Linked DNA regions of Oryza sativa Japonica Group. The protein of the gene in region 1 interacts with the protein of each later gene in a pairwise test. Links are inferred from orthologs where the notes say so. Each region holds a gene or a part of one and is shown on either strand. Other genes may lie near its edges. The genes, in order: zerumbone synthase and ABC transporter I family member 10.

Region 1 (4,311 bases):
TGAGCACCACCGCGTCCGCCGTCTGGCACTCGGCGATCATCGATCACACGCCGAATCGATCAACACCACCACCAGCACAAATCAAATCGACACACGACGATGACACACGATTAGGGGAGAGAAGCGACGAAGACGGCTCGATTTGGGGAGAGAGGCGACGACGGCGGCGAACGTACCTGGAGGAGGTGTCGACGATGGTGACGGGGACGCGGGCGGGGAAGTAGTCGACGGGGAGGCGGGCGGGTGGCAAGACGCGGGCGACGCCGTCGTCCTGATCGGGGAACCTCCCGGTGGCGATGGTGGCGACGAGGCTGGACTTGCCGGTGCCATGGTCGCCGATGACGGCGACCCGCACGTCCAGCTTGGCCGCCGCTCGCGACGACCACGCGACCCCCATGGCGTCTCCTCCCTGACGTCTCCTCCCCTCCGCCCGCGGTAGGGTTTTTTTGTGGGGGGTTTGGGCGCGTCGCGTGGTGCGGCCGCCATCGCTGGCGTCGACTAAAATAGAGAGAGCGAGAGACGAATGGTGGGCATGTATGGACTTGAAAGGCCTGTTGGGCTGGGCTTTTCGGTGTTCCTACTCCATATGCCTAAGCGAGGCCCACAGGAATGAGGGCTCACGTAGTCGTGATGTCATCGTTTTTTAAAGATAATGGACTCAGTTAAATACTACAAAATGATACATTCTAAGAGTCCACCCCGGTCTCTGTAAAGAATGCACACAGCAAAAAAAACAGGATCTAAGAAGACCTTCTCATCACAAAACAGAAACCAGTCGCTATCAACCTGGCTATCAACCAATAGACTAGATCGCGACTCATGCTTATGGATAAAAAACTCCCACCTAGTCCAAACGTTGCGATACCACCGTAGTAGTATCCCGAAGTCCCGGTTTGTGAAGGATGGCCCAAGTGCGTAGCCACCGGATAACTAAAGTAGTAATCTGCAAATGAGAAGACACATCATACATCGGTCAGCGTCAGCCATCGCCCACCGCAGTGATCGCCGTCGCCGTCGTGGAGTCAATGTTAAAGAGTTTTTTTCTAAATTTTTTTAAACCTTCTTAATTTTAAAAACAAACAATTCCAAAATTTATTTTTCAGTCTTACTAACCCGTCTCGCAGTTAGTTAAGGTGACGTGGCAAGACAACACCCGGAAAGGTTTGTTATCAAAATTAGAAAATTTCAAAAAAAAGAAGGAAAAGCTCCAGTACCAGCCTGAGACGCTGATGGCATCGCTGTGAACGACCCCGCCCCCAGCCTGAGATTCCGTATTATCGCTCTCAGATCTCAGTTGTTCGTTTCTTCTGATTGTTTTTCATTAATTGAAGAAGCTTCTTTGCTCATTTGGTCATTTTGATCGCGATCCACTCAAGCACCCGGGCTCCACTATAATAATGCAGGCTAGTGTAGCAGCCCAGCACACACACACTAGTGCAAGCAGCTCGAGCTTGAGCTCCACCTCGCCATCGCCGGCGACTTCTCCTGTCCTGACCGGCCGGAGCTCCGATCTTGGCGGTGACCAAGAGACCTGACGAGACGATGTCCGCCGCCGCCGCCGCCGCCGCATCCTCCCCCGCTCCCCGGTACGTACCTGGTTCTGGTCGCCGTAATCCGATCTCCTCTTTTTTTTTTTCGCACGGTCTTCACCGGCGGCGCTGTATGTTAGTTTACTCGATCTCGAATCCCCGATGCGTCGCCGCCGGTGAAGGTCCCGGGCTTTCGCCGTTTGCCATGGCGAAATCGAGGGATCTGACTGACTGACTGACTGTCCCTATCCCCTTCCCAGTAAGAGTGGGCTGCTCAACTGATAGGTTTTGGTGTGAGAGTGTTTGGGGCTTCTTCAGATTGCCCAGAGGAAACCCCATATGTTCTTGAACTGAAAAGATGAATGGGGAATCTCAATGTTAGTCAAAGGGGGAATTAGTTTCTAATTTTCCCTTCAATAACATGTTAGCTGGTGTGTCAAGTCCTGTAATTTGTGAATTGTGAGAGTTCAGGCTAGCAAGATTAAGCTTGTATTTTGTTAGAAATAATGTGGTTAAAAATCATGTTTGGGTGGTTTTATGAGAAAAAAACTGAAAACATTGTTCGCGAACAAGCAAGTAAACAACTTTGCAATGGTGCTTGCCTGGTCTTTCCTCAACTAGGATAATGTTCTTTTCAAGTTAATTAGCTGTCGCAACTCACTAGTAGAAGTGCCTATAGAATTTAATCAAAACGGCGGCTCACTTATCCTTCCTCTGCCCCTTCGCAACTGCATTCTGGAATCAGCTTGAAATCCCGCAGACTATCACCAGCGCGAGCGACCTCCATGCTCTGCGCCCAAATGGCCGCCTCCCAACAAAACACTTCAAGGTTTTCTTCTTGCTTTGTCTCTGGGGATTATGGAATCATCGTTATGATGTTGTCTTCCGTGGAGAATCCCCCTCTCTGCATAGACTAGTTTCTAGATGTATTGAGGATGCAACCTTGTGGGCAGAGAGACTAGTTTGTGCTGACAGGATCGTTGTAATCCTGGAAACAAATTCTTTCCTCCCCCCTTCGCACTATGTAATCCAAAGTCGTGTACTCCTATCTTTCAATGAAAATTCAGGTGGGGAAGCTCTCCCCCCCGGTGACCAGTCTAAAAAAAATAATTTAATCAATGGTTCATGAAACACTGGTAATTCTGATACTAAATACAATTTGCATATTTATCAGTTCTTTAAATTTGATTTGGGTTCTTTCCTCTGGAGAAAAGGTTGGAAAGCAAGGTTGCGCTGGTTACCGGTGGTGCTTCAGGTATTGGTGAAGCAATTGTTCGCCTCTTTAGAGAGCATGGTGCAAAGGTATGTATTGCAGATATCCAAGATGAAGCAGGTCAGAAGCTCCGGGACTCCCTTGGAGGTGACCAAGATGTCTTATTTGTCCACTGCGATGTTTCGGTGGAAGAGGATGTAGCCCGAGCGGTCGATGCAACAGCTGAAAAGTTTGGTACTCTTGACATCATGGTCAACAATGCTGGCTTTACAGGCCAGAAAATCACAGATATCCGAAACATCGACTTTTCTGAAGTCAGGAAGGTAATCGACATCAATTTAGTTGGTGTATTCCACGGGATGAAACACGCAGCGCGCATCATGATCCCCAATAAGAAGGGGTCCATCATCTCATTGGGAAGTGTTTCTAGTGTCATTGGAGGGTTGGGACCTCATTCATACACAGCAACCAAGCATGCTGTGGTGGGTCTAACCAAGAATGTAGCTGGGGAATTGGGGAAGCATGGGATACGCGTGAACTGCGTATCTCCCTATGCAGTGCCCACGGCTCTCTCCATGCCGTATCTGCCCCAGGGCGAGCGCAAGGATGATGCCCTGAAAGACTTTTTCGCCTTTGTTGGTGGTGAAGCAAACCTGAAAGGTGTGGATCTGCTACCTAAGGATGTTGCTCAAGCAGTGCTCTACTTGGCAAGCGATGAAGCGAGGTACATCAGCGCGCTCAACCTCATGGTGGATGGTGGCTTTACCTCTGTGAATCACAATTTGAGAGCATTTGAAGATTAACAGAAGTTGTTAGGCACAATTGGTACTCTAGTTTCAGATGCTATGTACCATTCTGATTTTAGAACTTTGATCAATTACCTAAAGTAAGAATGTCAATAAGGAATGCAATCTTGTATCTGTGGTATTGTATAGTACTATGATTGTATTGCCGGTGCTTAAGGACAATCATTGATTATTATCAGCACTATTATGTTACAGTTCTGAAAACTGGTATGAGTTCATATAGCATCAATTATTCAGGTGTGTTAAGTAATGCTTCTATGTCAGCATGCCTACAGTACAGAGTTGCAAACCAGTGGATTTTACAGTTGAATAAAATTGATGCCCATTGGTGTATATAATCACTGATGACATGCACAAAACTGAATTTTCCTGAATTGGCACTACTGTGCTCACTCTAACAGAATCATTGACTTATCTGAAGAAAAAAAAATCTGCAGATAAAAGGGATTCTTCTACTGATGAAAATTGTATTGGACGAACTTTCATTGGGCCCGATCCATGAAAGAAGAAACTGACAGCATGAGATTAAACTGGTTGTGCCACGTCTAAATATTCAGCATACATGTAAAGTGCGAAAGAATGGCAGCCAACTGATTTCACTAATGCATGTGTGATGCAACAAACAATAATTTTACAGTACATGTATACACCAAACATAAACATATCATTAGCATAAGACGTATATCATCAGTCATCACCATCTGCGCTACAGTTTCTCTATAAACGGAGATACTATGGCTTTCCCGTACAACATTGCTGTAAT
Region 2 (4,270 bases), on another chromosome or scaffold:
AGAACAAGATAAAAGCAATCTGATATTGCAAATAGGAATTCAATACAAATGATAAGTTGGGGTTCCGAAGAACAAGCAGACGGACGGTCTAGCCGACACGCGCGCTGCAAGCAAGTAGCAATGGCTAAACTTTATTCTAACAAAACCCCAGAAACCCTGAAGGGGTAACTAGCTATATATAGGGGTGGGAGGATGACCTAGGGGTGCCTAGGGTCGTGCTCCACCAGCTTGGGGCGCACCCCACATGGGCCCCACCTGGGCCGGGGTCCCAAATGAAGTTACAAGCCCATAGTCCCATTACAGGTGTCGCAGCACCTTGTTTCTTCAGTTGCTGCCGACTGAGATGGAATTTGGCAATGAGGCTTGATGCATTGGAAAGAGGACTCCGAGAGCTTTCCATCAAGTACTCACGGGCCGAAAACGGAGGTCGTATGGAGCTTCGGCGGCCGTTTGAAGTCAGCAGGGTAGTAGGTGGCCGAATTGGATTTTGAGACTTGGAGGACTCGAACTTGATATCTTGTTGTCCATCCATGAGGTGAGCAACGGATGTATCCGTAGTAGCCATGGTCACATCAAATCATAAGAGCTAAAAGTTGTTATATTTTGAGACGGAGAGATTACATGATTGGAAATCTTTCACATATTTGTTTCAGGTAATAAAAAGCCCGTTCTTTTTTTATGGTTTATTCTCTTTCTTTTTTGTGAATGGAAAATGTACCACATGGTCTCTGTGGCTGTGTTTTTCTTGTAAGAGGAACCGCAAATACACAAACTAGAGAAAAGACTCCTCTAACTTTGTACAGTTTGTAGTTGTACTACTGAGATGTGGATCATAACAAAGTGGAGCCCACATATAAGTGGCACAACTGTAAACTAAGGGCCTGTTTGGTACAGCTCTAACTCCTAAATATTGCTCCAGGAGTTGAGTCTGGAGTGGAGTTGTGGAGCTGCCTAAACCCAGCTCCACAACTCTAGTATATTTTGTGAGAGAACTCCACCCAACTCCACTCCCAGTTTTGGTGAAGCTGAAACTGTTTGGCTGAGCTCCAACTCCAGGAGGGGTGGAGCTGGAGCTGTACCAAACAGGCCCTAAACAAAGTTAGAGAATCCGTTTCCACGAACTACAGTAGGAGCACAGGATGGTATCCGCACTCTCTGCCCCCAAAGCCCCAAATCGGCCCATCAACCAATGGACTTGTGGGCATCTGGCCTTATAGCCTTCTGGTCTTCTGGAGAACCGGGCCCCCAAGGCCACAAGCCTCCATCTACCGCTCTCACTTCTCTCGCAGAGATGGCGCACGCCTTCGCCGGCGGCACCTCCGCCATCTGCCGCTGCCCCCACGACCCCGGCCGAGCCGCCCTCGTATCCCGCCCTCGCCACCGCCTCCGTGTCCTCGCGTCGTCCCTACCCACGCCGGCCATCGAGGGCCAGGGCGTCGAGTTGTCGGTGACGACTCGGCGGGGGCGGGTGCTGCCGGTGCTCAAGGACTGCTCCCTCCGCGTCCCTCCGGGTCAGCTCTGGATGCTCCTCGGCCCCAACGGCTGCGGCAAGTCCACCCTTCTCAAGGTTCTTCATCTTCTTTACCCCCCTGAACTGAAGAGGGCGTCGTCCTTGTGCTTTTCATGTGTATTTTGTTCGTGCCCTGAGCGTTTTTGCTCATGGAGTAGGCAAAAGTTTAGTTGTAGTATTAGATTGTGCCCATGGACCACATTCTTTGATATCTTGCTCCAGGAAATTTTCGTATACCGTCAGGAGCCGATGGATGTTTTAATTCGAGAACCACTAGTATGTATCTTGGGCTAACCAGTGAGTGAGCATTGTATAGAATCTCAGGAGTGGAGCATCAAGCACATTTGACTATTTGGATGAATGGACCAGATGGCACAATCAGATTAGCAACTTTTTGTGATATGCTCACCCAGAATAGAATGATATAGGATGACTGGATGAGAAAGTAAAAAAGACAGAGGAGAAGTTCTATAAATTTTATTATAATGCTGTACAATATTTACTTGCCTAATTAGGCTACCGGACTATCAAAATTGGTCTGAATTTCTTAGTACAGCTCCTTAATGGGATGTTAACCGAATGTTTTCTCTAGGTTTTGGCAGGATTTTTAAATCCTTCTTCTGGTACAGTGTATATTAACAGGCCATGCAGCTATGTCTTCCAAAATCCCGATCACCAGGTTGTCACTTATATTCTGCTTTAGTGTTTATCTGAAATTTCACTCCGTTCTCAAATGGAATACAACAATGTTAAAATTGCATTCACATAACGTGTATTATGCTAGTTAGAAAATGGAATTCATGAAAATCTTTGTTCTTTTCTATCTGGTATTTATTGATACTCTGCAGCAAATTGAAGTGTCTCGGTTCCAATGTTCCTTGCTTGCATATTCGTTTTGGACTGTATAAGCATGTTGGCCATAGTCTTAGTAACCCTGTTGAATAACTATTCATCGGTTAAAGTACCAAGGTCCAGTTTTTCTTTATAAGTACTTCTGCAATATTTAGGCTTTACTTCACCGACCAATATAACTCATCCAGCTTTATGTATTTTAAGGTAATACTCATACTCCCTCCATCCCAATATAAGTGTAACCTAGTACAAATGTGATATATCCCACGACTACAAATCTGGACAGACATTTGTACTAGGATATGTCACATCTGTACTAGGTTGCACTTATATTGGGATGGAGGGAGTATTTGAGAGCTTAGTTAACTATCCTACTAAGTTCGACAACATTATATAAGTCTTTGAAAAGAAACGACATACATAGACATACTAATTCGTAAATTGTACTGTAATCTGATGAGTTCACTCTTAACTGTTGCCCATAATAGATTTAGTTTCACCAAGCAAGAAATTTTGTGCTACATGATTGTCTTAATGAATCTAGTTCTGTGTTCCTCATTAATCTTCATTCACAAACTTGGGTGTGAAAGTAATTCCTAACTCAGAACTTAGTAAACTCTTTGGACTAAGAATTTTATAGCTAATTGGATACATAAGGTGTTGATATTTTAGTTCCTTTGAAAACTATACAGTTGTGCTGTTTGCTGAGTTTCCCCTGAACTAAATTTGAACATATAAATGTTCATTAAGATATTGCTAGACTGTATTTGCATCATATTACTAGCAACTATAGAATGTTATTTTTTTGACTCTTGATGCATTGGAGGAAGATTGCTTAATGACACATTCATGTCAAATTAGATCAAGCTTTCTGGTACATATTAAGTTACGTTCTTTGAATGCAGGTTGTGATGCCGACAGTGGAATCAGATGTTGCATTTGGTCTTGGTAAGCTCAACCTTTCGTTGGATGAGGTTAGGTCAAGAGTATCACAATCACTGGATGCTGTGGGAATGTTAAGCTACTCTCAAGTAGGCAGCTGACATGCTCCTTTTGGATTATAATCTATTGTCTGCACAAGGTTCACAAACATCCTTCATCCAACACAGAGGCCAATCCAAACTCTGAGTGGCGGGCAGAAGCAGAGAGTTGCAATTGCCGGTGCTTTAGCTGAAGCATCCAAAGTACTACTACTGGATGAGCTGACCACATTCTTGGATGAATACGACCAGGTATAAATATAATGCATGTTCTTGTTTCTAATCAGTTGTACTCAAATACTCCCTCCACTTTTTAATATACGACGTTGTTGATTTTTTGAGAAACGTTTGAACATTCATCTTATTCAAAAAATTATGTAATTATATTTTATTATGACTTGATTTATCGTCAAATGTTCTTTAAGAATGACTTAATTTGTTATATATTTGCACAAAAATTTTCAATAAAACTAATGATCAAACGCTTGTCAAAAAGTCAACAACGTCATATATTAAAAAACAGAGGTAGTAATTGATCACGAGGTAACTAAATATTATGCTGAGGAGAACAATGATTAACCACATCACTGAAAAACCCCAGATCGATTTATTATTTAAACAACTAAACAATTGTGTAGCTTTGCTTCTACAAATGCAATTTTCTTTTCTTTATTCACATTTGTTGAGTGGCCATCATACCTCAAAAGCTATGGCTAAACACAACTTTACCCCTTGTTGAAATCTCGATTCATATTTTTCTGTTTCTAATATGTACTCTTTAGTAGCATGTATTACTCCGCTCTGGTAATGACACTGTGACTAAAATGAGCGTTCTACTCTTTCTTTCATCAAATTGTAGATGGGTGTTATCAAGGCGGTAAGGAAATCTGTAGGTGCTGGTGGGGAGGTTTCAGCATTGTGGGTGACC

What was found.
Region 2: the proteins of zerumbone synthase (region 1) and ABC transporter I family member 10 interact in binary tests that used the Arabidopsis thaliana proteins (3 or more experiments, as listed by UniProt). The link is inferred for Oryza sativa Japonica Group from reciprocal best matches to the Arabidopsis thaliana genes ABA2 and ABCI10.

Annotation. Positions count from the first base shown.
Region 1 is NC_089037.1:34,910,387-34,914,697, forward strand, and holds zerumbone synthase, read left to right. Parts: upstream 1-1,422; 5' UTR 1,423-1,542; coding exon 1,543-1,586; intron 1,587-2,743; coding exon 2,744-3,545; 3' UTR 3,546-3,752; downstream 3,753-4,311. Other genes in the region: mitochondrial Rho GTPase 1, read right to left, coding at 1-40. UniProt on the Arabidopsis thaliana protein: Involved in the biosynthesis of abscisic acid. Catalyzes the conversion of xanthoxin to abscisic aldehyde.
Region 2 is NC_089035.1:33,119,617-33,123,886, reverse strand, and holds the start of ABC transporter I family member 10, read left to right. Parts: upstream 1-1,240; 5' UTR 1,241-1,291; coding exon 1,292-1,567; intron 1,568-2,102; coding exon 2,103-2,189; intron 2,190-3,267; coding exon 3,268-3,393; intron 3,394-3,471; coding exon 3,472-3,594; intron 3,595-4,201; coding exon 4,202-4,270.